Linked DNA regions of Tamandua tetradactyla. The protein of the gene in region 1 binds, or shares a complex with, the protein of each later gene. Links are inferred from orthologs where the notes say so. Each region holds a gene or a part of one and is shown in the gene's direction. Other genes may lie near its edges.

Evidence for each region.
Region 2: SPAG5 (region 1) and KNSTRN share a complex: the UniProt entries of both Homo sapiens proteins name them as parts of the astrin (SPAG5)-kinastrin (SKAP) complex. The link is inferred for Tamandua tetradactyla from reciprocal best matches to the Homo sapiens genes SPAG5 and KNSTRN.

The regions. Positions count from the first base shown.
Region 1 is NC_135332.1:51,821,868-51,838,175, reverse strand, and holds the start of SPAG5 (sperm-associated antigen 5), read left to right. Parts: upstream 1-7,914; 5' UTR 7,915-8,041; coding exon 8,042-8,092; intron 8,093-8,330; coding exon 8,331-8,456; intron 8,457-14,666; coding exon 14,667-15,757; intron 15,758-15,863; coding exon 15,864-16,038; intron 16,039-16,308. Other genes in the region: RSKR (ribosomal protein S6 kinase-related protein), read left to right, coding at 115-219, 403-443, 682-709, 820-909, 993-1,081, 1,212-1,322, 1,811-2,047. UniProt on the Homo sapiens protein: Essential component of the mitotic spindle required for normal chromosome segregation and progression into anaphase. Required for chromosome alignment, normal timing of sister chromatid segregation, and maintenance of spindle pole architecture.
Region 2 is NC_135340.1:53,609,664-53,625,198, forward strand, and holds the start of KNSTRN (small kinetochore-associated protein), read left to right. Parts: upstream 1-9,376; 5' UTR 9,377-9,495; coding exon 9,496-9,704; intron 9,705-9,884; coding exon 9,885-9,979; intron 9,980-12,260; coding exon 12,261-12,393; intron 12,394-13,105; coding exon 13,106-13,153; intron 13,154-13,509; coding exon 13,510-13,615; intron 13,616-13,805; coding exon 13,806-13,899; intron 13,900-14,947; coding exon 14,948-15,009; intron 15,010-15,535. UniProt on the Homo sapiens protein: Essential component of the mitotic spindle required for faithful chromosome segregation and progression into anaphase.

The DNA.
Region 1 (16,308 bases):
ATCCCAGAGGGAGAGAGATTAGTAGGTGGCACCAGTTTGGGCAGGGGACCTATAATGCCTTGAGCCCAGGCACAGTAGGTTCCGAACACTGCCTAGACTTCTGGTGCTTTGCAGTGTGCAGCTACTGCAGCTCAGATCTATACTCCCTCTGGTCCACTGCTGGATGCTTTGATATGGCTTCCATCCGCCTTCTTGCTGCTGAGCTGGTCCTGGTGCTGTGTAAGTGAAATAGGAGTGGTACCGGAAATATGGAGGGAAAAATCAGGTGGTGGGCAGAGGGAAAAGAACTGATGCTAATTCGGTGGATCAAAGAATAGGGATAGGGGTGGGATGGGGGGCTACCAGGGAAATTAGAAAGGACAGGAGAGCTTTAGCACACCCTATGCTTACTGTCATCCACAGGCTATCTGCATGACTTGGGCATCATTCATCGAGATGTGAAGGTAGAGCTAGGTGCTTTTCCCCTTTGTCCGAGGAGGGGGCTCAGGAAGAGGTTCCAGCAGGGCCAAGAAAGGGTGGAAATCAAGTTGACCTTGGGGCTCTGTAGGTGCTAAGGATTTGGGAAAGGGTCCTACCAAGTATAAATTTGAATGCTGAGTAGGGCACCTTCTTCAGCTAGACGTATACATGATGAAAAAGGGTTGAAAGAGGATGAATAACTTCTCACCTGTGATTTTTCAGATGGAGAATATCCTTCTGGATGAACGAGGTAAGTCCTTTTCCTTCCCAAGCCCCAGGATAAAGTTACCTGGGTTTGGAAATAAGTAATGGCTGATGAGAGGTGGAACAGCATGGTGATGTTTGCTGCTTCTTTTATAGGCCATCTGAAACTGACAGACTTTGGTCTGTCCCGCCACCTGTCGCAGGGAGCCCGAGCCTATACTATTTGTGGAACTCTTCAATATATGGGTAAGAAAGAGGCTAAAGCTGGTGGGTAAGCACTGTAAAGAGAGCCAGAGGGTGTTAGTGACAAGTATCTTTCAAATCTGTAGCTCCAGAAGTCCTGAGTGGAGGGCCTTACAACCATGCTGCTGATTGGTGGTCCCTGGGTATCGTGCTTTTCTCTTTGGCAACTGGAAAGGTAAGAGAATGATAATGGTATTGGGCAGAAAAGACAGAAAACTTTGCCCTGAGGAGGACAAAGGAAAGACCTTTAGGAAATTTTGCCTTATTCCTACTAAGGAATGAAACCTCCTCACCCCTTAACTCAGTTCCCAGTGTCTGCAGAGAGAGATCATGTGGCTATGATGGCAAGTGTGACCCACTGTGTCTATGAGATACCAGCCTTTCTTAACGAGGGGCTTTCACTCCTGCTCCAAGAGGTAAGGATCAGCACTACCTTTGACTGTCTTTCTTGATTACCAAACCATTCACTTTCTCCTTTCCTTGTCATTTAAGTGGTATTTCCCCATCCCCGATTAGTTTTTTCTTGAAGGGGACTCCAATTTGATTAAGTCCCACCTCACTACTTGTTTTCTAACCAGTACTTCAAATTTCATTCCTGAGTTCTTAGTTCTGTGAATTCTGCCTGTTTCTCTCAAATCTCCTCCTCCTATAGAGCAGGCCAAGTCCCTTCCAAGAGAATGGGCCAATGATGCTTTCTCACTGTCTGAAAACTCACAAATACAGTTCCTTTATTCCCTCCTTTGCCCCCAGATAGCCTGTTTCTCCTTCTTTTACAGTCTATTCTTTAGGGTTCTTCTTCCTGCCTTCCATAGTTCCTTGGGCTTCTTTCTCCTTTCTTTTCCATCTTCTCTGTTCAGCCCCATGATATCACAGTCCTTCATCCTCATGCTCTATTTCTCTTCAGCTCTTATGCCAGAACCCTCTCCGCCGTCTACGATATTTGCATCACTTTCAGGTCCACCCTTTCTTTCGGGGTATGGCCTTTGACCCAGAACTCCTACAGAAGCAGCCGGTGAACTTTGTCATGGAGGCGCAAGCTAACCAGCCCAGTCTATCGGAGTCCATGCATTTTAAGGATTTTGACTGTGACCTGAAGTCCTTTCTGATCTACCCCAGCCCTGTTCGAGCCTCTCTACTATAGATGGGGGCCCAGCTGGGAACCTGAGAACTTTCTCCACTGCCAACTCAGTACCACCACCTCGATGATCCTGTTTGTTGTTATTTTGTAGCCCCTTACCGTTCTGTTCATCTAGGCTTTGGTCCAGAGTTAAAATCTTGGGCATTCTGTTACTGGTAGCCACAACTGGCCCTACCCCTTCCCCATTATAGATTCCACTTTTCAGTTCAACATTTCAGATCAGGGAAAGTGACTTTTTCCTTTTGCTTTATTTACTTCTCTAGTGCTCATACCCTGAAGCTTGCACCCAGAGGCTTCTTCTCCTTTTTCCTCTGTTTTTCTGCCATGTTTCCTTCCTTGAGCAATAATGATACTTCATGGATTCCTAAATTGCTATTAATGTGTTTAATAGACTTGTCAGAAGCAGCACAGATGTTTTCCAAAGGTCTCAAAAGTTGGCTTTCAGTCCTTAATATGCAGCTAAAGAATATTCTGTAGAGATTTAAGGCTAGTTTGTAAAAAAACTAATTTAAAATAAATTAAAAAGTGAACCTAAGACCCTGATGTAAGGAAGAAGAAAGGAACTGAAGCAGCGCTGAGTTAAATGTCTTCTCTAGGGGTAACTGGAAAAGCTATCCACATTTTTTCCTAAACAAAATCTTCTTGAAAGACAGTTCTTAAACTGATAATTTACCAAGAGATGTTTTATGAAAAGGCATGACACTAACCTTAAGATTTAAAGTTAGAGACATGCCAAAAGTACATTTTCCTTTAGTAAGGAAAATCATTTGGACCTTGAATTTGTATACATTTCTGGCCTTTATGACTTTTCATTTTCCTTAAACTAACTTTTTAAAAGTTACATTTTTGTTCTTAGATCTGAGGAAAAATATGCTTTAATCTAGACCATATTATCCTTTAGTTGTATCTGATATCTTCAGATCTAAAAGAGTCTGGAGAGCACCTTGTATATTTTTATTTATTAATTCCATCCTTGGATTAGGCCATATTTTCCCTGTACATAGTTGGCATTTTATTGGCCTCTGAAAAATTGCTTTTTCTGAATTGCACTTTGGCATGGTGCCTCCTGTATTCATTGAAGGTTGTCTTAAAGAAAGTCCCTATGAAACTTAATTGCTGTGCATAATGTAAAGGACAGTTATCATTAAAATTCATAGTGTTCTATCTGAGGATGCATGGGAGAAATTTTTTCTGGTGATAGTTGTGCTTTTCCAGAATTGCTATTTGGTTTTCACCTTAAATACCCTGAAATTATTCAATTTATTGTATTTTTCTCTTTGTACAAGATGCTAGACCACGTAGAACCTAATTTGTGGCCCACCTCCAGCTAGTGTTTAGGACTTCATGTTGTGCATTTTGTGTGTTAGCCACATTCTTGGCTCCATCTTCCTTTTCTACCTTTTCCTTAACCTTTTTCTAAGTTTTAATCTTTTGATCTTACTATATTACTTGCGTCTTTGTAAGCTTTTTTGGAATAAGGTTGGGATATAAATAAATAAAAGAATGTATCCTTAATCCTTTTGATTATCTCATTTGTTTCTCTTTGGACCCTTTTCTAGCATTATTACATTAAAAAAAAAGTAGTAGTGAGCAGAACTGTACATTGAAAAAAAAACCCTGAATACTAAAAATAGGAATGATTTCCAAAGTAAAAACATTATGTTGAAATTCAGACCTGGTGCCCGGATCCACCAAATACTAACTCAGTGTTTTTAGACAAGTCATTTTAACCACTCTAGATCTTAGTTTCCTGGTGTATAAAATGAAGGGGTTACAATCTGTGGTTCTGAATTGTGGGGAATGAGTTTCAGATTTGTGTAACATTTTCTCAAAGGGCAGATGCAGAGATCTGATGCTATGCAATACTATGTGTCTGGCCTACTGTTAATGTTCAGGTTGCCCAGCAATATACTGGCCTTTCTGCTTACAGTAGCATAATGGGTTAGTCTTTAGGAAATGGTTAGCATAATGTCACTAGAGTCCTTTTCCTAAGCCATATTAGATAACTTAGAGACCAAGATCATATAAGTGTAATTTAAATCATTTCTTCTCAAATGATCACATTTCCAACCTTCTCTTTAATTAGCTGTTCACTACAGCAGTGTTTTGCAGGGTAGAGTGGAGAGGTTGATAGAGAATCAAAAGTTTCAGAAAGTATCACTGCCCCATCCTCCTTCCCGAACTCTGATATGCTCATCCCTAGAGGACATTTTCTCTTCCCCACCTCCCACCTCATTCAGAATAACTAACCTACAAATGTTACACCCTTTAATTATTCATATGATATTCACTTAAAAAAAAAACACCTTATATATACAACTTTTCTAATCACCTAAGTTTATTCCTATGCTTTGCTTTTCATTACCTAGGGAAGACAGGAAATACACTTATAAACACGGATATCTCACTCTATATTCCTCTCTTTTATAAGAATTTAAGATTAGTCCTAACAACCAATCTTATATATTCTTCTAGAAAAGTATTTGTGGAGTGCTACTCATTGTTTCAAATCACTAACCTAAGTTCCTTTATCATATATTGATCTGTTCATTTGTTTGTTTGTTCACTGATTTAACAAACTGGTACTCTCAATTCCTTTGTTACTTCTTTAAGGAGTCTTCAATGTAGAATCCTGTCAAGCATTTTTTTTAATTAAATAAAATCACATTCACTGGTTCACTTTTATGAAAATGCATTATTAACCTCTGTGAAGAGTTCTAATGTATTAATCAGGAATGATTTTTTAATTTACAGAAAAGCATACTACCTTTTTCCCTAGGTCAATTTTGTTTTATTCTGAGAACATACTCATCATTTCAGATTTCACTGGCCTCATCATGAATTTGTTGTTTATGGGGTCCCAGTGACTAGCAGTGGCACACTGCTTCCTTTGTTCAGTTCTCCATCGTATTCAGCAGCAGGGCTAATAATTCCACAATTTCATCCTTGAATTCACTCAGAACTGCCTGGTAGGTATTCCTCAAGGTAGCTGATTTGTTCAACAAAATAAGAAATCTCTAATTCAAAAATTAAAAATCTGTAACTTAAATTGAACACCTATCTCATATCACATGCAAAAGTTAACTCCAGATAGATTAAAGCCTTAAATGTGATACATTAAAACAATCTTAGAAAATGATCATGATGATGAATATATAACTATGTGATGATATTGTAAATTACTGATTATATATGTAGAATGGAATGATCATCTGGTAAGAATGTTTGTGTTTGTATGTTGGTACATTTAATAAATAAAATAAATTTAAAAAAATATCTTAGAACAACTGGGGGACTAGAACTACAATCAAGGGATGAATGAGATACCTAAATCAAGACAGAGAATAAAAAAACTGTAATTAAAGACATATTTAACCACATAAAAATGTAAAATCTTTCTATGGTCAAAGATACCATTAATAAAATCAACAGACAAACAATAGACAAAAATATATTCGTAATATGATGATAAAGAGCTACTGTCTTTAACAGAACTCTTACAAATGGGAAAGGAAAATGAAATAATCTATTTTTAAAAAGGGAAAAGGTATATGAAGTGAGAAGTCAATGCAAATATCAGTTGACTTAGAAGGCTTTCTACAAAACCTTGAGTGAGAAGAAAATGCAAACAAAAAATTACTTCATTTTTATAAAGGACTCAATGTATGTATGCATGTGCATGCGCTAGTACATTCATGAAAAAGTATTAAGAGAGAAAGAGAACAAGAATTTGGGAGACAGAAGTAATGCAAGTGGGAAAATAAGAGGAAAAATATAATAAAGGTTTACACTAGGCCTCAATCCCAAAGACTCATCAATTAAAATTCTGTATGTGTGATTGTGCAAAAAGAAATTATAAAGCACTAGAGCTACATTTACTGACATAGGAATATCTAGGATTAATTGTTAAAAGCAATTTACAGAGTCAAGTGTATAGTTTGATTCTCCTTCAACAGACTCACAAGAAGCCCCCTGTATATGTGCGTGTGTATGTTGGTGTAAATTTGTGTATGTTTGTGTAGAGGAGGGTAAAATGGACAGGAGAGGCTTTTTCTTTAATACATCTTTGCATTATATTATTTTACTTGCTATAATCTATTTTTTTAATAAAATAAAAACCAACAAATCAAAAAAATATTATGCAAAATAACTTCAACAAACTAATTCTGTTTATATTATCTATTATTCCCAATGGCATTTTCTTTTTCATCTACTCCATACATATTCCTCCTGATTTACTGCTGGAAGTACTACATCACTTTGGCTACAGCTGACATCTGACACACTGGCTGCAACAAGGAATAGCATTCCAATTCACACCTTTTTAAATTTAAATTTCTCCTGGCACTTAAGAATTTTCTGTCTTGGTTTTTCTGCCACTTCCCACCCTTGTCTTATTTGCTGCATCAATATTAACTAGAAGTGTGCCTTGGAATTGAGCCTTGGGCAATCCCAGGCTCAACTTAGTCTTCTTATATTGTCTTTTCCAAACTTCCCATTCAAGCAACTAAGACTGTTATGTTTCTAGAGCAGTGCTGTCCAGTAGAAACAAAATGAAAGCCATATAAGTAATTATAAATTTGCTAATAGCCACATTAAAAAAGCAAAAAGAAACGTGAGGGTGGCCACGGTGGCTGAGCAGGCAGAATTTTCCCCTGCCGTGCGGAGACCAGGAATCGATTCCCGGTGCCTGACCATGCAAAAAAAAAAAAAAAAAAAAACCAAAGAAACGTGAAACTAATTTAATCTATTTTATTTAACCCAACATTAAAAAAAAAAAATCGTTCCAACACGTAATCAATATTTTAAAATGAGACCAGTATTTATTTTATACCTATAGCACATCTCAATTTGGACTAGCCACTTGTGAAGTGCTTAATAGCCACATATGGTAGTGGCTACGTATTGGACAACATAGTTCTAGAGAAGCCCATCCCCTAAAAGCCCTGCAGTTCATAATTGTTCCTCCTCCTTGCCTTTTCCAAACTCGTTAAGATTTCTAGAATGTAAATAAGGTGCTGTGAGTGTTCAAAGGAACATACACTCTATCATAAACCTGCCTTTATGCTGTTTTCGAAAAGTTGATTCCACCTTCAACGGATAAATCTCCCCTACACACAGGATTTAAGTGGCAGGAGAACGTAGTAGTGGATTGTGTGGGTTGGAATCTTGGTTCTGCCATTTACTATCTGAGGGACTTCGTGCAAATTACATTGTCTCTCTATGACTCAGTTCTTTCATCTATAAACGGGGATATTTATAGTACTTCACAGGCCCTTAAGAGGACTAAATGAGCTAATAAAGCACTTTGGAACAGCGCCAGGCAAATAAGAAATGTTCAATACATGTTTCAGTAAACTTGTCTCAGGCCTTAAGTCCCAAGAAAAGACCAGAAATCCTGAAGAGGCATTACCGCCGCCCGGGGGCTGCAGACTGGTTGGGAACTGCGTCTCAGGCCATCGCGGATATGGGACCCACGTGCAAGACCTCCAGATCTAAGTGAAACGCACTCTTCCACTCACCTCGGCCTTCCTGACTCCCCGGCCGGCTCATTTCCTGTCAGGTCTGAAGCGGTACCTGAGGAGAGCCTTCCCAAGACCAGGCCTCGAGGCAACCTTCCTGACAAGGTGTGAAGGTGGTCCATTGGAAGGAAGCAGGAGGGATGGACATCCTGACTCTCCAGATACCTGCGGCGCCCTCCCTCACCTGAAAGCTCAGGACCTGCAGCGAGCCTGTCGCGTCCTGCCTGCCAACGCCTGCGCCTCGCGGTCGCTCGAGGAGAGTGAGCGAACCCCGTGGCAGGCGCGGGAGGCGTGCGACCCCCCCCCGGCCCCGCCCACCCGTCGCCCGCCGGCGCGAGTCCGGAACAGACGCGGCGGCCTGACGCACCTCGGCAGCCAATCGGGAAGCGTGGGGCAAGTTCAAATAAAGACGGCGGGTGAAGATGGCGGCTCCCCTCGGGTCTAGCAGGTAGTCGACTTGCCCTCTACCCCAAAGATGTGGCGAGCGAAAAAACTGAGCCTCAGCCTGTCGCCTTCACCCCAGCGGGTAAGCGGGAGAGCCTCGCGGAGAAAGGGATCTGGGGCGGGGGCGCTGGCAGTGCCGAGTGTCTTGGAAAGCTGGGTGGAGGCTGGGCCGGGGTCCGTAAGGAACCTTGTTCCGTCTGGCCTCTTCAGCGCTACTGAAGCCCGAACCTATTTTTCTCATCGTCTCAGGGGCCTCTAAGGGAAGGAGAACGGCCAGCCCAGGGCTGGATTCTTCACTCTCGCTCTCTTCTCTTTCCCAGGGAAAACCAGCTATGAGAACGCCCCTCCGAGAACTTATCCTGCAGCCTGATGCCCACACAAATTCTGGAAAAGGGCCCGCTATATGCTCCTCGCTGACCCCATCACTGTGCAAGCTGGGGCTGCAGGTGAGAGTCGCCCGGCTTTTCTACTGGGCACTTTGCCCAGGTCCAGAGCTCAAAGGAACAGAGGGCCAGGGCTGGAACGTAATTAATAACGATAATGAAGTCTTTTACCTCAGTAACATCCATTTACAGTTATTCAGGCCAACAGAGAGGTACCCGAGGTTGGTTAAAGGAAATCCACTGAGAGCCCAAACCTCTATTTAGCTGTTAGTTTTTATCATCCACTCAGCCTGTATTAAACTGCTGAGAAATACTATCACTGATCGGTTGGCTCCTTCTTACATTGGCTCAGTAAGGGAGAGGTCGATCTGTTACAGCTGTGAGTCAATATCCATCCACTCCATGAGGTAGTCCAAACTTTACTGGGGTCATGGGAGGCTGGGTATATCACTCTTAATATGGACCACCTTAGTTTAGTCTCTTGGAGCTGTGACCGCTAAATTCTGCGTTTGTCAAAGATTTTGAGAGAGGCAGCGGTATAGAAACTGTCAGATTAAGAAGTTGACCCCGGTCTGTAAGGTTCCTCACAGAAATTTCTTTTAGAACTTATCACCTGGAAAAATGGTCTTCCTGTTCTTGTCTTTTTCTACTGATAATGAGACCCATGTAGTTTCTCATATTTTTCCTCATCCTCTGGCTTCTAAGAAGCTCGGGATCATACTTGATGACCAGGTATAGCTACACTTACTTCCTGAAATTGGAAGATTTGCTTCTTCTTTCTTTTTTGTCTAAGACTTCATATCTTTTTCATGCAGTCTGAATTATTTTTGGAAGGAGATGGGATATAAATAGGTTTAAGAGTAGAAGAATATATAAAAACAGATAATACCCTGAGTAACAAGTTTGAGGATAGCAGTTTTTCTTGAAAGAGTTCCAACACTTATCATCCAATAGAACTTTCTGTGATGATGGAAATGTTTGACAATCTATGCTGTCCAGCTTGATAGCTGCTAGTCACTTGAAATGTGGATAGTGGAACTGGAAAACTGAATTTTTTATTACATTTGAATTTAAATATCCACATGTGGTTAGTGGCACGCATATTGGATAGTACAGCTTAAGAAAGAAAATAAGAAATACTAAGTGGGAACTGATGTCCATAGAGATTATAGAATGTAACCATAGCCCTTTAATCACAGTAATAGAAAAGACTAGAATTTGTGTCTCCTGCCCCTCCTAACTAGAGAGTTTGCCCATTCACCTTCACCATCTCATAATATAGTCAACTATACTAACAAAAAGGGATTTTTCCCCTACAAAATAACTATTATTTTTATTTTATAAATTTTGATTATTTGTAATAATGCATGTTCATTGTTTGAAACATGAACAATATTAAAAATAAGAAAATACTTTCCCACTGATTTAGATACCTCATTGATATATTTGAAAATCTTTTCATTTATCTCTGTGTGTGTCTGTTTTTGTATGTATTTACATAAATGCACATCCATGTATTATAACACTTTTTTTTAATCAAGGCACTTTTTTTCCCCAAAATGCAATATTTTTCTCCCTTCTTCCTTCCCTTCCCTCCTCCCTTTTTTCCTTCTGCTTAGCTCTACTTTTCCTTTCTTTTGCTGGTCCTGTGGAGTCAGTACTTCCAAAACATGCCTTGCTTTTCCCAAGCCATTTAACAACCTGCTGTGTATCCTTCTGTATTTTTCTCTGTTCTTTTAATAATATGCAAACATACATAGTTATTTTCATGATAGAATCATATTATATACTTTTTTTGCTCTTTGCTTTTTTCATTTAACAATGTGGGTGGAAGTCACTGTAAGTCAACTTTGTAGAACTAATTCATAGCGTACCATGGTATGTATAAATCACAATTTATTCATTAATGGATATTTATTTTTCTGTGTTTTTTTTTCTACAAACAATCCTGGCGTAAATATCTTTGTACATGTATTAGGTACTGATGCTTTATTTTTATTATTAATTTTTAATTTTTTTTTAAATGTAACAACAAACAGACATTCTTAACATATGATCATTCCATTCTACATATATAATCAGTAATTCACAATATCATCACATAGTTGCATATTTCTCATCATGATCATTTCTTAGAATATTTGCATCAATTCAGAAAAAGAAATAAAAAGACAGAAAAAAATTCATACATGCCATATCCCTTACCACTCCCTTTCATTGATCACTAGCATTTCAATCTACTAAATTTATTTTAACATTTGTTCCCCCTATTATTTATCTTTATGCTGTATGTTTTACTTGTCTGTTGATAAGATAGATAAAAGAAGCATCAGACACAAGGTTTTCACAATCACAGTCACATTGGGAAAGCTATATCATTATACAATCATCTTCAAGAAACATGGCTACTGGAACACAGCTCTACATTTTCAGGCAGTTCCCTCCAGCCTCTCCCTTACATCTTGACTAACAAGGTGATATCTATTTAATGCGTGAGAATAACCTCCAGGATAACGTGACTCTGTTTGGAATCTCTCAGCCATTGACACTTTATTTTGTCTCATTTTGCTCTTTCCCCTTTTGGTCAAGAAGGTTTTCCCAATCCCTTGATGCTGAGTCCCAGCTAATTCTAGGATTTCTGTCCCATGTTGCCAGGAAGGTCTACACCCCTGGGAGTTATGTCCCACATACACAGGGGGAGGGTGGTGAGTTTGCTTGTTGTGTTGGCTGGAGGGAGAGGCCACAACTGAGCAACGAAAGAGGTTTTCTTGGAGGTTACTCTTAGGCCTAATTTTAAGTAGGGTTGACCTAACCTTTGTGGGGTTAAGTTTCATATGAACAAACCCCAAGATTGGGGACCCAGCCTATTGCCTTGGTTGTCCCCACTGCTTGTGAGAATATCAAGAATTCTGCGCTGCGGGAAGTTGAATTTTCCCCCTTTTTCACCATTCCCCTAAGGAGACTTTGCAAATACTTTTTTACTCATTGTTCAAATCACGCTGGGATTTATAAGGGCATCACTCTGGACAAACCTACAAAATCTTATGCCCTACCATGTACTTATGGTGTTCAGTGAAGCTGTCCACATAAGTTATATTAGGAACTGCACTAGTCAAAATATAAATTTTGGTACTGATGCTTTTGTTTCTATGAAATAGATTCTCAGGAATAGAATTGTTGGGTTAAAGTATATGTGTATTTTTAATTTTAATAAGTTATGCCAGATTGCTATCTAAAATTCATTTTCTCCAGCAATATATGAGGGTTTCCATTTCCCCACAACATCTCCAGCAGTAGGTGTTAGAGAGCTTTTAAATTTCAGCTAGTCTAATTGATACACAGTGATATTTCATTGTTACCTTAATTTACATTTTCCTGACTATTAGTGAGTATATCTTTTATATATTTGTTGGTTATTTGGATTTGCTCTTTTGTGATCTGCTAATTTATATTATTTGCTCATCTTTCTGTGGGGTTATTAATCTTCTCAATCATTTTACAAGTTTTTTTTAATATTATAATTATCTTTCATCATTGCTTTCTAGTTAGTTTATAATTTTCTTTTAGTTGTTTTCTTTAATCCAAGGGTTATCTAGGAATAGTTCTTAATTTCCAGGAGTTTAAAGACCTTTTCTGTCAGCTTTTCTTTGTGGCCAAGTACAGGATGAATTCTTCTAAAGGTTCCATGGATCTATGAAACAAGTAAATTTAATGTTCAAAGGATGCTGTAGTCTGTTTATATTTGCCAATAGATCGTTAATTACTCTGTCCTTACATGTTTTTTTAGCCTACCAGCTCTGTCATATTTTAGGAGAGGGTTTTAAAGTAATTTTTAAAGATAAATAGAAGTTGATAGATGCAGCAAAAACTTTTTTAAAATTGTGCTTTGGCACTTCTAAAAGTATATTTTATTTACATTTTTTTTGTGTGTATGTATTTTTGCTTCGTATATTTAGTTTCTAAACTGTATAGTTCATATCAGTTTATGTTTTTAATATCATATATCTTTATGTCTTTTATCATAATAATGCTATAACCTTAATTTATACCTTGTCTGATATTGCTGCCTCTGCTCTCTTTGATGTTAGGTATCTCTTTGCCAATCTCTTTATTTTCTACTTCGTTTTAGCACTTAAAAAAAGAAAAGTTTTAAAAATTGAAATAAAATACATAAAACATAACCACTTGACCAGTTAGTACAAAGCACACACCCCTATAACCAACATCCATGTCGATAAATAGAACATTGCCAGAATATCGGAATCCTGTCTCATGACAACCCCATCTCCCCCCACAAATAACCACTTTTCTGACTATTTTGGTAAATACTTTTTTTCTTTGTAGTTTTACTGCCTTTGTAACTCAAAATGGTTTGGTCTGTTTTTAAATGCCATATATGTGATATATATTCTGTCTGGCTTCTTTAGCTCTCTCTCATATTTTAAGTATCCACTGCTATAAATGAGAAATTTCATGAAAGTATTTTTTTTTCCTTGTAAATAATTGGTCTTTCTAGCTAAAGCTTCTAAAATAGTTTTTTCCTTATAGTTCAGAAATGTTACCATTATGTGTCTAAGTTGACAGAAAAGGTCTTTAAACTCCTGGATATTAAGAACTATTCCTAGATAACCCTTGGATTAAAGAAAACAACTAAAAGAAAATTATAAACTAACTAGAAAGCAATGATGAAAGATAATTATAATATTAAAAAAAACTTGTAAAATGACTGAGAAGATTAATAACCCCACAGAAAGATGAGCAAATAATATAAATTAGCAGATCACGAAAGAGCAAATCCAAATAACCAACAAATATATAAAAGATATACTCACTAATAGTCAGGAAAATGTAAATTAAGGTAACAGTGAAATACCACTGTGTATCAATTAGACTAGCTGAAATTTAAAAGCTCTCTAACACCTACTGCTGGAGATATGGGGAAATGGAAACCCTCATATATTGCTGGAGAAAATGAATTTTAGATAGCAATCTGGTATAACTTTTTTTTTTCTTGTCAATCCTGCTTGAAACATGGTAAGCCATTTTATTGTACAGACTTGCCTCTTTACCTTTGGGAAATTTTCTAATATTTGTTTTATCAGTGCCTCACCTACATGTGTTCTCTTTTCCTGGAACTTCTTTTATTCACGTTAGACTTCCTGAATTTATCCCCCAATTCCCTTAACTTTTTCCTCAGATTTACATTTGTTTGTATTTTTGTCTTTAACTTATTTCTTCTTTGTGCTCTTCCAGGCCAATAATTCTTGTCTCAACTCTGGTCATCCTCTCTTTCAATTCATTATACTGAAGTTTTTAGTTTAACAGTGATGTTTTTTATTTCCAGAAAGTCATTTTTTGTGTGTACTGTATTTGAATTTTCTGTTTTTTGTTAGGGTCTATCTTTCTAACTATCTTAGCATTCCTTCTAACCTTGGCTGCTGGATTCATAATTCACAATAGTGTGTTACTATTTTCCTTTTCTTGCTTATTGGGTTTGAGGTCCAGCCAGTAGCAGTAATCCTGCTAGTTGTAGAAGGTGCAATGTCCCTGTGAACCAGCAATAGGGAGGTTGTCAGTCCTTTGTCAAGACACCAGGAGGAAGTCTTTCTGCTCTTCAGTCTCCTCTGCTACAAAGACTAAAGCTTTTCAAGTCTCAAGGGTTGAATATATTCAAACTATATTGTTTGGGATGCTGTCACCCCTGGTGGGTCAAGGAGATTGAGCCACTGGCATAGGTTGATGTTGCCCTTTATCCTTGGGGTTCACTGATCTCTTTGAACAAAGTGCTCCCTAGGATCCACATGTTCTAAAATAATTGTCCTAGGACTCTCTGACTCTGGTCCCCAAATTCTCATCTATTTCAGAAGGGAAAAAAGTCTTGAGACAATTTGAGATTCTGACAGAGCTTGAGCTTTCACTCACAGCCTACAGACCCCTCCTTCCTGTTCCCTAGAAGCAGGTTGGAGTTAGGAATGGAGAAGAAATGGAACACATTGAAGCTGCCATCTCCTCATGTTATGAACAGATTATTCCAGCCCTTTTTTATACCATAGACTGGTTCCCTTGGAAGACCTAAAATGGCTTACTAGGTTTTCTTCCTCTGCTCTTCGGTCTCTGTAGTGATTAGCAGCAGGGATTAGCCAAGTTCTTGCCTAAGCAGAGGTAATGAGAACTCTTTCCTTTTTGGAGTTTGGATAGTATCTCGCATTCATAATTATATGTTGGGAACTTGAATTGATGATCGTAGTCAACTGGCTTTGTTTCCTTTGTCAGGAAGGCAGCAGCAACCCATCTCCACTGGATTTTATCAGTGCCACCACGACAGACTCCCCTTCAGAACAATTCAGCTGTCCCTCAAAGTGGCAGAAAGCATGTCAGCGTGATTCAGATGAGCAGCCCCTAGATCTGATTCCCCAAACCAACTCTACTCCTAAAACACCTGAAGCAACAGTTGATCCCCTGGACAACTACATGGTTAAAACCATGGTCCTTGGACCCTCTCCAGTGGTACAGCAGCAAGACATTTCACTAATGACCCATTTGGATGCCATGGGAGAAGCAAATGGTATCTCTTTACATGAGCCATTGAGGCCAGGAGATCTGGTGGGAAAAGGGGTGGCACCATGTATGAAAGACAGCTTTTCAGAAGTCGTTGCTGCTGTGCCTGAGAAACCAATATTTCAGGATCCTTCATCCCATCTCTTGGACCATCCACCAAGTCCCTGTTCTGAGCAACAGCTACATTGCTCCAAGGAAAGCCAGAGAGAAAATATAACTGAGGCCGTGTGTGAGGACTTAGTAACTTCTGAAAGTAATGCCTTCTTGCCATCTTCCACGTTATGGCTTTCCCCTTCAACTGCCTTGGCAGCAGATTTCCCTGTCAATCAGGTGGACCAAGGAGAAGAAATTGTAGAGCACAGAGCTATAGAGGAAAAAGAAATGAGTGTTCCTCCTGCCCCTGTGGAGACTGAATTGAGAGATCAAGCACTTGTCTCAACTATGAAAGATACTTTATCTACATGCCTGGCACCAAATCCAACAGAAATAGAATCCCAGGCAGCTTCAGGCCCAGCAGTAAAAGATCCTGGTTTGATCCTCAAACCTGACACAGGGCCTTGGATGTCCCCACTGGCCTGGCTGGAAAAAGGTGTAAATTCCTCAATCATGCTGGAAAATCTCCATCAGAGTTTATCCCTCCCCTCTGTGCTTCAGGATGCTGCAATTGGTACTACTCCTTTCTCTACCTGCTCAGCAGGAACTTGGTTTACTCCCCCAGCTCTACAGGAAAAGAGTACAAACACGTCCCAGATGGGCCTGGAGGGCAACAAGGACAGTAGTTCTGAGACAGAGTGCCTCCTATGGGGGTAAGTGTCCCTATATCGTTGTCCCTCTTGAGCTCCAGTATCCTGTACCTGCCATTCCCATCCCTTCTTCCTTTCTTTTCCTCATGTTCCTCTCTTCTTGCTGCAGCCGTCCTCCAGATCTAACTGCCTTATCTCGACATGACCTGGAAGATAACCTGCTGAGATCTCTTGTCATTCTGGAGATCCTCTCTCGCCAGCTGCAAGACTGGAAGAGCCGGGTTGCTGTCCCTCACAAAGAGGCTCAGGACAGTAGCACCCAGACTGACACCTCACCTAGTGGGGTAAGAAGGTTCCTCTCAAAACATGGAGAAATCCATTGGCCGCCCTTTCTCAGAATGTAAACTGCCAGAGAGTAAAAGGGACTCCTTAACCACAGGCTTATTCCTTCTATGCATAGAAGTTAAAGATCTGGAATATCCCTGATAACTGTGTATATTCACTATACCCCTAGGATGTATCAAGACTTTCCAAGGGGAATGCAGGCAAGGAAAATTTTAATGGAATCAGTTTCTAGATCTTCATTTTCCAAGTGTTTTTTGGAAGTGTGCTAT
Region 2 (15,535 bases), on another chromosome or scaffold:
ATTAGATAGTGCTAATTGCCATGGTTTGCTAAATCCCACCCAACATCACTCCTGTTTATTCTTTTTTTAAAATTTTTTATTAATTAAAAAAAATACAGGAAAGAAACACAAACATTCTTAGTATATGCTCATTCCGTTCTATATATATAATCAGTAATTCACAACATCATCACATAGTTGCATATTCATCATCATGATCATTTCTTAGAACATTTGCATCAATTCAGAAAAAGAAATAAAAAGACAACAGAAAAATAAAACGAAAACAAAAATTTTACATACCATATCCCTTACCTCTCCCTTTCATTGATCACTAGCATTTCAAACCAAATTTATTTTAACATTTGTTCCCTCTACTATTTATTTTTATTCCATATGTTCTATTCCTCTGTTGATAAGGTAGATAAAAGGAGCATCAGACACAAGGTTTTCACAAACACACAGTCACATTGTGAAGCTACCTCATTATACAATCATCATCAAGAAACATGGCTACTGGAACACAGCTCTACATTTTCAGGCAGTTCCCTCCAGCCTCTCCACTACATCTTGACTAACAAGGCGATATCTACTTAATGCATAAGAATAACCTCCAGGATAACCTCTCGACTCTGTTTGGAATCTCTCAGTCATTGACACTTTGTCTCATTTCACTCTTCCCCTTTTGGTCAAGAAGGTTTTCTCAGTCCCTTGATGCTGGGTCTCAGCTCATTCTTGAGTTTTCCTCAATCCCTTGATGCCGAGTCTCAGCTCATTCTGGGATTTTTGTCCCATGTTGCCAGGAAGGTCCACACCCCTGGGAGTCATGTCCCACGTAGAGAGGGGTAGGGTGGTGAGACTGCTCATTGTGTTGGGTGGAGAGAGGGGCCACATCTGAGCAACAAAAGAGGTTCTGTGGTGGGTGACTCTTAGGCCTAATTTTAAGTAGGCTTGACCTATCCTTTGTGGGGTTAAGTTTCATATGAACAAATCCCAAGACTGGGGGCTCAGCCTATAGCTTTGGTTGTCCACACTGCTTGTGAGAATATCAAGAATTCAACTTGGGGAGGTTGAATTTTCCCCCGTTCTCACCATTCCCCAAAGGGGGCTTTGCAAATACTTTTCCACTTACTGATCAAATCACTCTGGGATTCATCGGAGCCTCACTCTGGACAGACCAACAAAATCTCATGTCTTATCCAAGGTTCCATGTACTTATGTTGTTCAACCAACAATCGATATAACAAAAGTTATATTAGGAGATGCACTAGTCAAAATATAAATTTTGTACCAAATAAACATTTTTTGCTTTAGTCTCACACATTGGTTGAAATTTTTAAATATTAATTACCATCTATTTTCAGCACCCTGCAGTGATGGCATTTCTTTGTTCTTCCTCATGCAAAAACATTTTTTAAATTTGTACATTTAGTCACAATAATTATACACTCTAGGCATTCCTAGATTATACCATCTCAATTTTTATCATCTGTCTTTCTTTGTGGTTACATTTATGCCCCCAGCCCTCACTCCCTCTATCATTCTCACACTCAGCTCCATTCAGTGTTTTAACATAATTGTATTACAGTTAGGTAGTATTGTGCTGCCCATTTCTGAGTTTTCATATTAAGTTCTGTTGCACAATCTGTATCCCTTCAGCTCTAATTACCCAATATCTTACCCTATTTCTATCTCCTGATGGTCTCTGTTTCCAACGAAGTATTCCAAGTTTATTCACTAATGTCAGTTCATATCAGGGACCATACAGTATTTTTCCTTTTGTTTTTGGCTAATCTCACTCAGCATAATTTCCTTTTAAGGTCCATCCATGTTGTTACATACTTCATAACTTCATTCTGTCTTAGAGCTGCATAATATTCCATCGTATGTATATGTCTCAGTTTGTTTAGCCAACCGTCTGTTGATGGATATTTTGGCTGTTTCCATCTCTTGGTAATTGTAAATAATGCTGCTATAAACATTGGTGTGCAAATGTCCATTTGTGTCCTTTCCCTCTTTTCCTTTGAGTAGAGACAGCATATAGATGGGTCTTGTTTTTTAATCCATTCTGCCAGTCTATGTCTTTTGATTGGGGAGTTTAATCCATTAACATTTAGTGTTATTACTGCACAGGTAGTACTTTCTTCTAACCATTTTGCCTTCTGGATTTTATATGTCATACCTAATTTTCCTTCTTTTTACCTTTATTCATAGTCTTCCTTTCTACACTCTTCTCCACACCTCTCTCTTCTGTCTTTTCGTATCTGGCTGTAGTGCTCCCTTTAGTGTTTCTTGCAGAGCTGGTATCTTGGTCAAAAATTCTCTCAATGATGTTTTGTCTGAAAATGTTTTAATTTCTCCCTTATTTTTGAAGGACAATTTTGCTGGATATGGAATTCTTGGTTGGCAGTTTTTCTCTTTTAATAATTTAAATATAACATCCCATGTTGCCTCCATGGTTTCTGCTGAGAGATCTACCCAATAAGACTATATTGGGTTTCCCTTGTACATGATGGATTGCTTTTTTCTTGCTGCTTTCAAGATTCTCTCTTTCTCTTTGACCTCTGACATTCTGATTAGTAAATGTCTTGGAGTATGTCTGTTTGGATCTACTCTCTTTGGGGTATGCTGCACTTCTTGGATCTGTCATTTTAAGTCTTTCAGAAGAGTTGGGAAATTTTCAGTGATAATTTCCTCCATTAATTTTTCTCCTCCTTTTCCCTTCTCTTCTCCTTCTGGGACACCCACAACACGTATATTCATGTGCTTCATATTGTCATTCAATTCCCTGAGTCCCTGCTCATATTTTTCCATTTTTTTCCTTACATTTTCTTTTTCTTGCCAGATTGCAGATGTTCCGCCCTCCAGTTCATTAATCCTGTGTTCTGTCTCTTGAAATCTACCATTGTAGGTTTCCATTGTTTTTTTAATCTTTTCTACCGTGCCTTTCATTTCCATAAGTTCTGTGATTTGTTTTTTCAGACTTTCGATTTCTTCTTTTTGTTCATTCCTTGCCTTCTTTATATCCTCCCTCAATTCATTCATTTGGTTTTTGATGAGGTTTTCCATGTCTGTTCGTATATTCTGAATTAATTGTTTCAGCTCTTGTATCTCATTTGAATTGTTGGTTTGTTCCTTTGACTGGGCCATATCTTCAATTTTTCTAGTGTGATTTGTTATTTTTGCTGGCATCTAGGCATTTAATTACCTTAATTAGTTTATTCTGGAGATTTTTTGCACTTCTTTTACCTAAGGTTTTCTTGCTGTATGTATTTTTTGTCTATCTGTTCTTTGACATTCAGTTCAGTTTTATGTGGACCTCTAGCTCAAGTTTTGTTTAACAGAGGAGAATTTTTCAGTTCTTGTTTTCTTGTTTCTTGCCCTGCTTGTATGGTGCCTTTTTCCCCCCACACTTAGGAGGGTCTACTTAGGTATTATAGACCCCAGCCAGACTTTCCCAGACCAAACTGGTCTCCTATCAGGAGGAAGGAGTCACCTGCATCGGTTTTCCCTGAGGGTGAGACCCAGCAGATTGATAGACTTTCCTGTGAAGTCTCTGGGCTCTGTTTTTCTTATCCTGCCCAGTATGTGGTGCTTGTCTGCCTGCAGGTCCCACCAGCATAAGATGATGCGGTACTTTTAACTTTGGCAGACTCTCCCTGCTGGGGGTGTAGTGGAGACAGAGGAGAGGTTGTAGGATGGTTTTAATGGCTTCAAATTGCCAAGCCCTGGTGTCTGAATTCCTTGAGGGAGGGATTCCACCTGAGTTGTGCTTCACCCCTCCCCTGGGGAAGGCACAGGCTCCAGACAAGCCCTCAAATGAGCTTGTTTCTGCCTATGCCTGGGGCAGTTGCAGCCTGGGAAGCCCTGCAGCTGTGTCTAAAGGTAGTCAAGCCTGTTTAGAAACACAGCCACAAAAACCTGTGTTTCCTTCTGTTTTTTTTCTTTTTCCGTCAGCCCTGCCCCCTTGGCGCCGGGGCAAAAATGAGCAACCTCTGCTTTGACCAGATTTACCTGAGTTGGGGGTCTATTTTTAGTAGTCAGAATTTGTTCATTAATTCCACAATTGGCGTTTGGTTGGGCTCAGCCCCTGCTGCTGGTAAAGTCTCTTTCCTTTCCTCTTTGGGAAGCAGTCTATGGAGGAGAGGTGCTGGCCGCCATGGCTTGTGTAACTCATGGTTCTGGGGGGTCTCGCAGCCGGTCCAGCCAGTCCAGACTGGGGTATGCTGTGTGTCCAGTCACTGACATGGCCCCAGGAGCTGTTCTGAACTGTTTCTGGTTATTTAGTAGTTGTTCTGGAGGATGAACTAAAATGCGCACATTGTTAAGCTGCCATCTTGGCCTGGAACTCAGCTACCACTCCTGTTTATTCTTAAGAACACCTAGGGCTTGAACTGAGACTTTATAAAAATTTCATGAACTAAGTTTATTTTCCTGAATCTTTTAACCTCCAGAGGGTTCCTAGGCCAAATAAATCCTGAAACCCAGAGGGACCAGCCTCTCCAAGATTATCAACTAATTACATCCCCCTATCCTTATCAACATGAAAACGTCAGACTAGCATTGCCCAAACATGCCTATAGATTGGGAGAAGGATCAAAGAGAAAGGAGGAGTTATAACAAAGAAAATAGGATTTAACAAATGAGTATGATTGCTGAATCACTATATTGATATTTCTTCTAGCTTCCAATGTTTTGGAGCAGCTAGAAGGAAAAATCTGAAATAGTGGAATCGTAAGTCATAACAAACTCTGAAATCTGTTCTGTAATTATTTGTTGAAGTGTACTTTGAAAATTATTGCTTTTTCTTTCTTTTCTTTGTATATAGTTATATTTTACAATAAAAGACATTTTTAAATGGCCAAATAGCACATCAGAAAAAATGCCCAACATCATTAGCTATTAGGGAAATGCAAATCAAAACAAAATACCATTTCATGCTGAATAGAATGGCTACTCTAAAAAAAAATTAAAAGTACTGGAGAGGATGCAGAGAAATAGGAACACTCACTCATTGTTAGTGGGAATGTAAAATGGTACAGTCACTGTGGAGGACAGTTTGAAAGTTCCTCAGAAAGTTAAACATAGAATTACCATATACTATTACTTCTAAGTATATACCAAAAATAATTAAAAGCAGGAACTCAAACATACATATAGATATAGATATAGTATAGATATAGATATAGATATAGATATAGATATAGATATAGATAGATATAGATATAGATGTGTGTGTGTTGTTGTTGCTTTGCAGAGGGGTTGGGGGGAGTGTCCATGGGCTGGAAATCAAACCTGTATCTCCTACATGGCAAGCAAGAATTCTACCACTGACCTACTCATGCAAATGCACATTTGCACACTGATGTTCATAGCAGGATTATTTACAATTGCCAAGAGATGGAAGCGACCCAAGTTTCCATCAACTGATGAATGGATAAACAAAATAAGTTATATACAAACAATGGAATATTATTCAGCTGTAAGAAGGAATGAAGACCTGATGTGTACAACAACATGGAGGAATCTTGAGGACATTATGTTGAGTGAAAAATGCCAGACACAAAAGGACAAATATGGTATGAGCTCACTGAAATGAACTAAATGAAGTGAGCAAACTCATGGAGTTAATATCTAGAATATGGGTTCCCAGAAGTTAGAAGGAGGGTAGAGAACGGGAAACATGAGCTTAATTTGTGCAGAATTTTTTTAACAAGGTTGATTGTAACCGTTTGGAAATGGATAGTGGTAATGATATTTTATTATCATGTGTGTAATTAACAGTGTTAAATCGTGCATGTGAGTGTGGTTGAAAGGGGAAGTTTAAGGTTGGCTTTATCACTAGAAGGAAAGCTAGAGAATGAAACAAGGGACTGCATAACATAGTGACAGAGGTGATTAATGGTACAAATATAAGACGTTATCCCATGAACTAGAACAAATTGATATCACTATTACAAGGTGTAATAATAGGGAGGTATATGGGGGAAAATACACCTAATGCAAACTATGGACTATGTTAACAGTCATATTTTAATGTTCTTCCATCAATTGTAACAAATGTACACATTAATGTTAAATGTCAACAATAGCAGGGTGTAAGGGGTATTGTTTTTTTTCTCTTTAGGAGCAATGAAAATGTTCTAAAATTGATTGTGGTGACAAAAGCACAGCTCTCTGAGATTATACTGAGGACCAACGATTGTACACTTTGGATGGATTGTATAGTGGGTGAATAAAAGTGTTTTTTTTTTTTTAAAAATGTTACATATACATACAAGAGAATATTATTCAGTCATAAAATGGAATGAAGTTCTGATATATGCAACAATCTGGCTGAACGCTGAAGACATCAAGTTGCGTGAAATAAGCCAGAGACAAAAGGACAGATATTGTACGATCTCACTGATATTAAATAATTAGAATAAACAAATTCATAGAGTCAGAATCTAGCATACAGGTCACCAGGGGCCAGGTTGGGCATAAGGAATGGGGAGTTAATGCTTAAAATGTACAGTTACTTTGTAACATTTTGGTAATGGATGGTGGTTATGGTAGCACAACATTGGGAGTGTAATTAACAGCATTGAATTGTGTATGTTTTTAATTTTTCCTTTTTTTTAAATTTTAGGTTATATATATGTTACTGGAATAAAAAGAAAGAAAGAAAAAACAGAGGACTGTACAACACAGTGACCTCTACTGTAAATGGTGGATTCTAGTTAATAGTACAATTATAAAAATGCAAGGTGTTAATATTAGGGTGGTTTATGGAAACTGCATTTTGCGTATTTTATGCATTAAAACTTCTCTAATAAAAAAGGGTTAGACACTGAATGAAGCTGCATGTGAGGTATAGGTTTTTTGTTTTTGTTTTTTTTGTTTTTTTTTTTCTTTCTAATATTGTTTTAATTCTTATTCTGTTGTCTTTTGATTTCTTTTTCTAAATCGATGCAAATGTACTAAGAAATGATGAATATGCAACTATGTGATGTTAGTAAGAATTACTGATTGTACATGTAGATTGGAATGATTTCTAATTGTTTTGTTAATTCTTTTTTTAATTAATAATAAAAAAAAAGGGTTAGAGCATACACTGCTTCTAAAATTATTTTGGGGGGGGTACATGTACAAAAGAGTTTGAAGATGCTTCTCTAGATCTCCTTTTCCCCTTTCTCCAAGACTTTGCTGTTTGTTCAACCTCTCTCCCTCCTGAAGCACAGTTTTCTTCCTCTCAGTTAGCTCACTTCCATCAGAACAGGTATCCAACAATATCTCCATCTTCAAGAAAACCATTCCTTGACCCACAACCCACCTCCAGCTACTGCCCAATTGTTCTACTCTGTTCACAGACACCCTCTAGAGTCTACACCTACCTATTTTATTTCACCTCTCACCTATTCTTCAACCCATGCCAATGTAATTTTCATTCCAACCCCGCCACCAGAATTTCCCTTGCTGTAATCATCATGACTTCTACATTGCTACATTAAATAGATCTCTTTTAATCCTCATTCTGCTTGCCCTTTCAGATGCTTTCAACAGTTTACCATTACTTCCTTCTTGACTTCTGGGACACCATCTGTTTGAGTTTCCCTGATGCTAAAACAAATACCACACAATGGGTTGGCTTAACAACAGGAATTTACAGGCTCAGGGTTTCAGAGGCTAGAAGGCTTGCTTCCTCCCAAAGCCAGTATCTTCTGCTGACTGGCAGTCTTTAGGATTCCTTGGCTTTTCTGTCACATAGCAACAAACATGGCAGCATCTTCTTTTTCTTAGAGGTTCTATTGACTTCCAGCTTCTTGCTTCTCCTGTGGCTTCTCTTTCTGTGTCCAATTTCCTTTGCTTATAGGGACTTCAGCTGCATTGGATTAAAGCGCACCTCATTCAGGTGGGGTACACCTTAACTAATAACATCTTCAAAGGTCCTATTTACAAATGGATTCACACTCACAGAACCACAGCTTGAGACTTGAATATGCCAATACTTTTGCTGAGACGTGATCCAACGCCCAATACTTCCTTAATTTTCTTCACTTTCTCATATTTCTTGGCAGGCCCCACCTTACAACTGCAACTTCTAAATGCTGGGTATCCCTGTCCTTGGCTCCACATGATCTCACCCAATAACACAGCTTTAAATACATCCACATACCAACGACTCCCATGAACATATGTCCAATTCATCCTCTCCTCTTGGCTCAATGCCTGTATTGACAATTGCCTATTTGACAGCTCCAACTGATGGTCTCAAAGGTATTTCAAGTTTACCATATTCAAAACTGAACCATCTCCTCCCAATACAACCTGCAGACTCCTGCTCCTGTGATTCCATCTCAGGAAATGATCTCTATCCACACAATTACTCAAGCTTCTCCTTCACCCCCTACACGCAACTTATCAGCAAGTTCTGAGATCCTACTTCCGAAAGCATCTTAAACGTGTCTGCTTCTCTCCATCTCCACTACTGACCACCCCCATCAAGACCCAGTCACCTTCACCGCTCACAAGTGATTGCAGTCACTTCCCAAACGCCTCTCAGGTGTCACTCTTGCTGCCTCCAACCCACTCTCAAGGGAGTAGCCAGAGTGTGCTTCTTAAAATATAAATCAAATGATACTCTCCTGCTATAATGATTCAACAGCTTCACATTACTTTTAAGATAGAATCTAATCTCTTTTCCAAGGCCTTCAAGTTTTGACCCAGGTTTCTCCTTACCATTCTCTTCCCATCTTTCAGTTTCTGCAAGAAAAAAAAAAAAAACCCATACTCACCTTGGGCCTTGCATCTCTTTCCCTCTGGTTCCTCCTTCCAGAAATTAAATATCAGAGAGTTTTCCCTGGCCCTCCAATTAAAACTAGTTTCTCCTGCTATTCTCTCATAGCACTTTTTATTTTTCCTTCATAGTTTTGCCAAAATTGGTAGATATGTATTTATTTGTGTGATTGTTTACTGTCTCCTGCACTAGATTGTAAACTCAAGGAGGCAGAGGCAAGATCAGTCTTGATCTTTGTTGTCCTCCATCCTATACTTTATAGAGTGTCTGGCATATAGCAGGTGTTCAATATTTATTGGATGAAATTTTTGGTGTTTTTAGTGCTTCAAAACTCTGCTCTGCTCATTGGGAGTAGCCTTGAGTCTCTGCTTAAAATCTGTATAAATACTATTAAGTTCGGACTGCTAGTAGGTGTCTCAGGTATTTCAGCCCACTGGTCGCCTTCTCCAATCCCCACCCACGACAATCCATCCTGTAATGTGTTGTTTTCTGCCCGTTCACATAACCTGTGTCCCCGCAATTGGGCATCATGCAACACCCCTAACAAACACAGACCAAATAATGAAAAGGATTGTGACAACCTGGATTCTGAACGTACACTTTTGCATCCCAAGCCCTGAATATGACGCCTGTGGCTTATCAACGCCATTGGGGCCTGCAAAGTGCAGCCTGCCCACACCTGCAGCCTCCAAAATCCACCGCTAGGAACCTCAGGTTTCCACCTCCAGCCGTACAGTATGGCTGCTCCTGAAGCCATCGCCCAGGATAAAGTCTTCCGTACAACATGGCTGCCTGCAGAAGGTGACCCACTCCCCCGCCCACCCAGTCACCGGAAGTTTCCATTTGAAACCGAGGCGGCAGACGCGACAAGCGGTGTGGCGGTTGCTCCGCATCATCTTTTAAAGGAGACCCGCGCGGACGCCGGGCGGGAGCAGACGGCGTTTAGGTTCGACTATCCTGGGGCTGGGAACTGGACTCAATGTGGAGGGCAGACGGGGTGGCCTGGAAATGGAAAATATTCCCTTTTCCGACCCTTCCGTGGAGGCTGAGCAGGTCGGATCCCGCCTTTCGGGGGTTCTCCGCCTGCTGGCCAAGCGCAGCGTCACTTTAACCTTGCCCCTTCCAGAGTCCAGCCGTTTCGCCTTGTAAGAATGACCAGCATAGTGAAGACAGTATGCACTCTTCAGGCCCCCTCTGTGCTGGGGGGCGGCCTACCTTCAGGTGGGTGGAGCCGGCAGTGCGGATGGGGCGGGAATCAGATTGGTGGCGGGGAATGCGGGGCGCGGGGCAAATGAGGGCGTTCCGTGGGCCCTCGCAGCGTGTTAGCGTCCCTTGAGCCAGTCTGTCTAGTTTATGTCTAGGGAGTTAGGGGAAAGACCAAGAGAGGGCTCTTTAGACCTGCCCTGCCGTTCCTCACACCTCATTGTGCTGCGTTCCACCAATTAGATTCAAGCTGCTGGTTATTCTACAGTTATCCCTCTAAAATAGGGGATAACCAGTTATTGGTTTTATTTCCAGGCTTGGGGCTGTTTTGAGGATATGGGTTTGTTACCAGGGAGAAGGTAGGGGGGTCATTTGGTAAGTGGGATACTTAGGGGGAGAACATTAGGTTGTTTGCATCATGTCTTGTTCACGTATCTGTACAGTGTCTCCCATATAGTACGCTCTCAGTAAGTGTTTGTTGAGCGAGCTAGGGGAGGTCAGGCTTAGCCAAAGTATTTTGAGAAGAAAGAGATATGATTAGGAGAAGAAAGATACGATTAAAAATATAATTTTTTATTGCTTTGCCGTTTGCTTTCTTACGTTGCGGGTGGTTGAAAGTCATTGCATAAGAGCTGCAGCTGTCCAGCTGCCTAATCTAGAGACTGTAGCACAGAATAAATTTCAGACACCAGAAAACTGTTGTGGTAGATTGTGATGCAGCTATTTATGATCCTTTCCCAGATGACCCCGTGCGTCTGGTTGATGAGCAGTAATAGAATTGGGCTGTGAAGTAAATAGGTTTTTCTCCAAAGGCTTAAAAGGGTTGGTCTGTTTGTCTCATCTTGCATCAGAACCCCTCCACGGTAATAGCAGCATCAGCAAGGCCTAAGGGGTTCCTGGAGGAACAGAAGCAGGTCTCTATATGCAAATCTGCTGTCTTTCCTCTGGAAAACCCTGTGCCTGCTTCAGCAGCTAGTAACTGGCTCTCCTCAGCCAAGGTGGAAGTTTTCATCTCTTTGCTTTTTTCCCTTTTGGGTTGTATGATCAGACATAACCTCAATAGTTTAAAATTTTAAGCTGTCTGCCAGTTTTTTGTTTGTTTCAGTGTCAAGCATGGGTTGGTTTGGTTTTTATAGCTTTTCATATACACACGTTGTTAAAAATTAAAAATAAAAGTTACGAAGCCTTATGCTTTCCCTTCCTGGACACCAGCCATCCAGTTCCCCTCTTAGTTTCTTACATTTTAAGGACACAGTCTTTAGTCCTGCTAATTTTTTTCTACTGTGCATTCCTTAGGTTCTATGAAATATGGGTTTTTAAAAACCGATTCCGTTCAATAGACGGTGTTAATTTTAACCATTTACTGTTAGCGCCTTTTTACATGGGATAGATTTGTTACCATATATAACATTAATACTCGAGCATGGAGATTACCTTTTACCACAGACCCCTCAAAAATAATCCTCTTAATATTTATTTTGTGGGTAAGAGTATCTAAATAGAGAGCAAAGGTGCCCAGTAAGTGTACCTCTGAATGGAATAATCTGTTAACCTGAAAAGTCATATTCATCCCAATCCCTTCCAGGGCTTTGTGCCTTATTTCTTCAACTGATTTGATTTAATTGTTATGGTTCTTAACAGGTCAAGCTTCAGGGAGTCATTGTAGAGTGAACAAAGTGAAAAGTTTAAGCTAGGAAAGCCTCTGTGCTATGTATTGTGTGTAAGGGGGCTGGGGTAGGGGGCAGATGGTGGGGAGGGGAGGAGTGCTTAACTCCAGAATAAGCAACTGGAATTTATCATGGAAGACAAATGGTAGACCATTTATGGGGGAGGATTGGCACTTGAGCTAGGGGAGAAATGTTCTCTTTGCGGGGAGGAAAGTGGCATGGCAGGGCCACAGTCTAGCAACAAGATCGGAATAGAATGCCAGCTGGGCAACCTCTAAACTTTATGGAGGATATGCAGATAAAAAGGACCTGAGGTAGAGCCAGTCACCATGGAAGACAGAAGAGAAACCTAGAGTTTAGAAATGAAGATCTGTGAAACAACCCGTGAAGCTGGGAAGTTTTATTCAGCAAACAGGTATTGAACATCTGACAAAATGCCAGATATTCTGCTAGCTGCTGGGGAAATAAAGACATCTTTATTTGTTGAGATTGGTCAGATTTGAATCTCTGAGATTTGAAATTGAGATTGGTCAGAATGGTGATAACAACTTGGAATAAAGATATGTTTGTTATAGGGTTGCCATTGTTAAGTCATGCCTCTTGGAGTTCCACCCTCTTATTTTCCTTTGCAGACATTCAAACTCAAGCCGTTTCTAAGAGTCTGTTACCTGTTAAGTCCAAAGATGTAGACATTTCCAAACTTCTTCCTTCAGGAAGTTCAGAGAACGATGGTACAAAAATCATCAAACAGAGACGAGAGAATGGGTGAGAGTCAGATCATTAGTATACAGTTAAAATATCTGGTTAAAAATTGATTGGGGGCAGTGCAACAGTGGCTCAGTGGCAGAATGCTCGCCTGCCATGCTGGAGACCTGGGTTCGATTCCCAGAGCCTACCCATGACCCCCCCCCCCAAAAAAAAATTGATTGGTACCAAGAATTAGAAAATAGGTTTTAGATGCACGAGGCACCTGAACAGTTGGCCTGTGGTCAGTGGCCCAAAGCAGTACAGCATTGAGCCCTAGTGTCATGTGGTGCTTTCAGTTCTCTCTGTAAAGTCAACATGAGATGGCATCTTGAGCAGGAGCAGATTGATCAGGTTGTTGGGATGGTCAGGGAAGAGGAGCCCATTCCCTTTTTTTTTTTTTTTCATTTTTAAACATTTTCTTGTTTTATTGTATTCTGTTTCTCCGTTTTTGTTACATGGGCTGGGGCCGGGAATCGAACCGAGGTCCTCCGGCATAGCAGGCAAGCACTTTGCCCGCTGAGCCACCGCGGCCCGCCCCCCATTCCCTTTTGATAAGCTATTTTTGATAGTCTGGTAAAACAAAAGGGCATGGGCCTTCAGAGCTTTGCAAACGTGTGCTATTTGCAGGGAATGTAATCTCTGATCCTCTCATAGAAAGTCAGACTTTTTGTTCTGCCTTGTTCGCAGCACAGCAAGTGCTGTAATCACTTTCTTTGGTTTTGCTTTTTAGGCAGACGAAAGCTGCAGACGCTGCCATCAGGAAGAACATTAAAAAAAGGTGAGCTTCAGGGTAAATGAAACTAGACAGTGTTTAAGAAAACAGGTCTCTCATTCATGGCACATGTTTGTGTTATGGTTTGGGTACCACCCCAGAAGCCTGAAAGGAATTTTCAGAGATGAGGCTCAGCAGATTTGAGAATCACTGTCACAAAAAGAGTCTATAATGGTGCCTGCCATTTTGAGTATCAGACAGGAGCTTATTGGACTACTGCTGATGGGAAATCGAAGCCAGCTATGGCCCATAAACAGAAGTGCTGCTATATGATGAAGCCAGGATTCAAGCCCCTGTTTGTGTGACTCCAGGGTCTATACTATTAATCCTGCTACCTCTTCACATAAGTACATTTATTACAGCTATAAACCATGGAGTAAGCAGAAATCAGAGGAAGAACTCAAGGATAAAAACCAGCTCTTAGAGGCCGTCAATAAGCAGTTGCACCTAAAGTTGACTGAAACTCAGGTAAGAGACCCACCAGACCTCTGCCGTCAGCTGCCATGAGGGAGGTGAATGTGGAATCTGCAGGAATGGCCCCTTGGGTGGGAGCAAGCTTATAATGCCCAGGTCCCCAAGGGCAGAAATAGAAGATGCTAGGCGTGTGCTGTGGCTGTCCAAGAGTGAGACCTGATCTGTCTGCATGACGTCCCAACAGGGAGAGCTGAAGGATCTGACCCAGAAGGTAGAACTGCTGGAGAAGTTTCAGGACAACTGTTTGGCAATTTTGGAGAGTAAGGGCATCAACCCAGGTGAGAGACCACACACAACTGCCTTCAAAGGAATCAGTGCACTGTGCTCCTTCCCAGGTCAACTCTAGTCCATCCGGAGTCCCCTGTGGCATTAACTGGCCCCGTCAGTGCTAATGTGGCTTAACTAAGCCCTAAAGATTTTAGAATTTCTTTTTGTTCAGCTGTTTTCACCTTCATGTGATATTGATTTTACCTGATAGCTCCAGATGGTTGTGGAGAGAGAGTCTTGTTTCTTCCTTATGTTAATACTTTGTACCGTTCATTTGATGCCAAGCATGACTTTGCAAATATACCAGGAAACATTTTGTTGTTTTTAAGGGAGAGTGTGTCCTGTTGTCTTTCCCAGATCAAAAGAGAGACATAATTCCCTTTCAGGGTTTCCTAAGTCTGGTTATTCATCAGAATCACTGTGGTTAAAATGTGGTCCCTCTTCCAGTCCTGTCCCTGGAGAACAGGGTCTGTAGTGAAGAAGCAGGTGGAAAAAAAGACTTGCCCAGAGTCTAAGACAGGGCTCGGATTAACAAGCCTAGGAAGGCCCAAGGAAAGGGCACATGCGTCTTTGAATTAAGAAATGCTGATTTTGAGTAATACTAATGATCTTTAGATCACATTTTAGTAAAATATATATATATATATTTTGGGGGTGGTAGGGAAGTACAGAGTCTGGAAAAGTATATATTCTTTATAGTTAACAAATATGCTTGTTGTGGTTATAGTTACCAGGAAATATTTGTATTGTAAGCAAAACAAAAGATCCAGCCTGTACCTTTCCTGCGGAAAAATTCCAGCCTTTTTCACTAAGATAAGGAGAAAGCAGAAAGAATTTTTGTCTATATCCAAACCTAGACAGGAAGGAGATAGATTGTAGCTCTAGAGGGCAGGTGTGAGAGACCCTGTCAAGGTGTAGACTCAGGGGAGAGAGTCAGGGATCAGATGTTTAGAGAAGTTTCTTTAATATATACTCCTGTATTTGTCCCTGGAGGGGTTTTCGTTTTCTTTTGTTAAAGGTGCAGTTCCCTAAATGAAGCTGATTTTCTTTTATCATCAGTTTTAGGCAGCGAAACACTGGCATCGCAGCAGGAATACACTACAGATCACAAGGATTCTATGGTGAGGGCATGGGTGTGAATGGGTGGACAAGTGACCATGGGGCTCTGAAAAATCTGATGCAGTCTCTAGTCTGTGCTTAATAAACCCCAAGAAGCGGCCTTTGGTTACCCATGATAGAAGAGAGCAGTAGGATGTGAACTCTTAAAATAGCCTGTTTTACTTGGAAGGTGGCTTTGAGTCTGAGTTGAAAGTGTATATATAATGAGATGGACCTGAATAGAGAGCTTTCTAGTGTCTCTATTCTGTACATCACCAAATTTCTCCCTTTATTCCCTTGTCTAGAAGTATATGATGCAAAGGTCCAGGGGGAAGTTAAATTTGGGTTCTTTGGCTTCTTTTTTATTCCTTCCCTAAAGTAGGAAGATAATTGCTTGGGCTTAAAGTCTTGAGCCTTTTTGATCTCTGCATCCAGAGTGATTAGTTGTTGTCTTAGAATCGTAATACTAGGTCTGGAAGCCTTCCCCAGCTCTCCCAGGCTTCCGTGGTGACTGTATTTTGATCATATTGTCTGTGTAGCACAGAACAC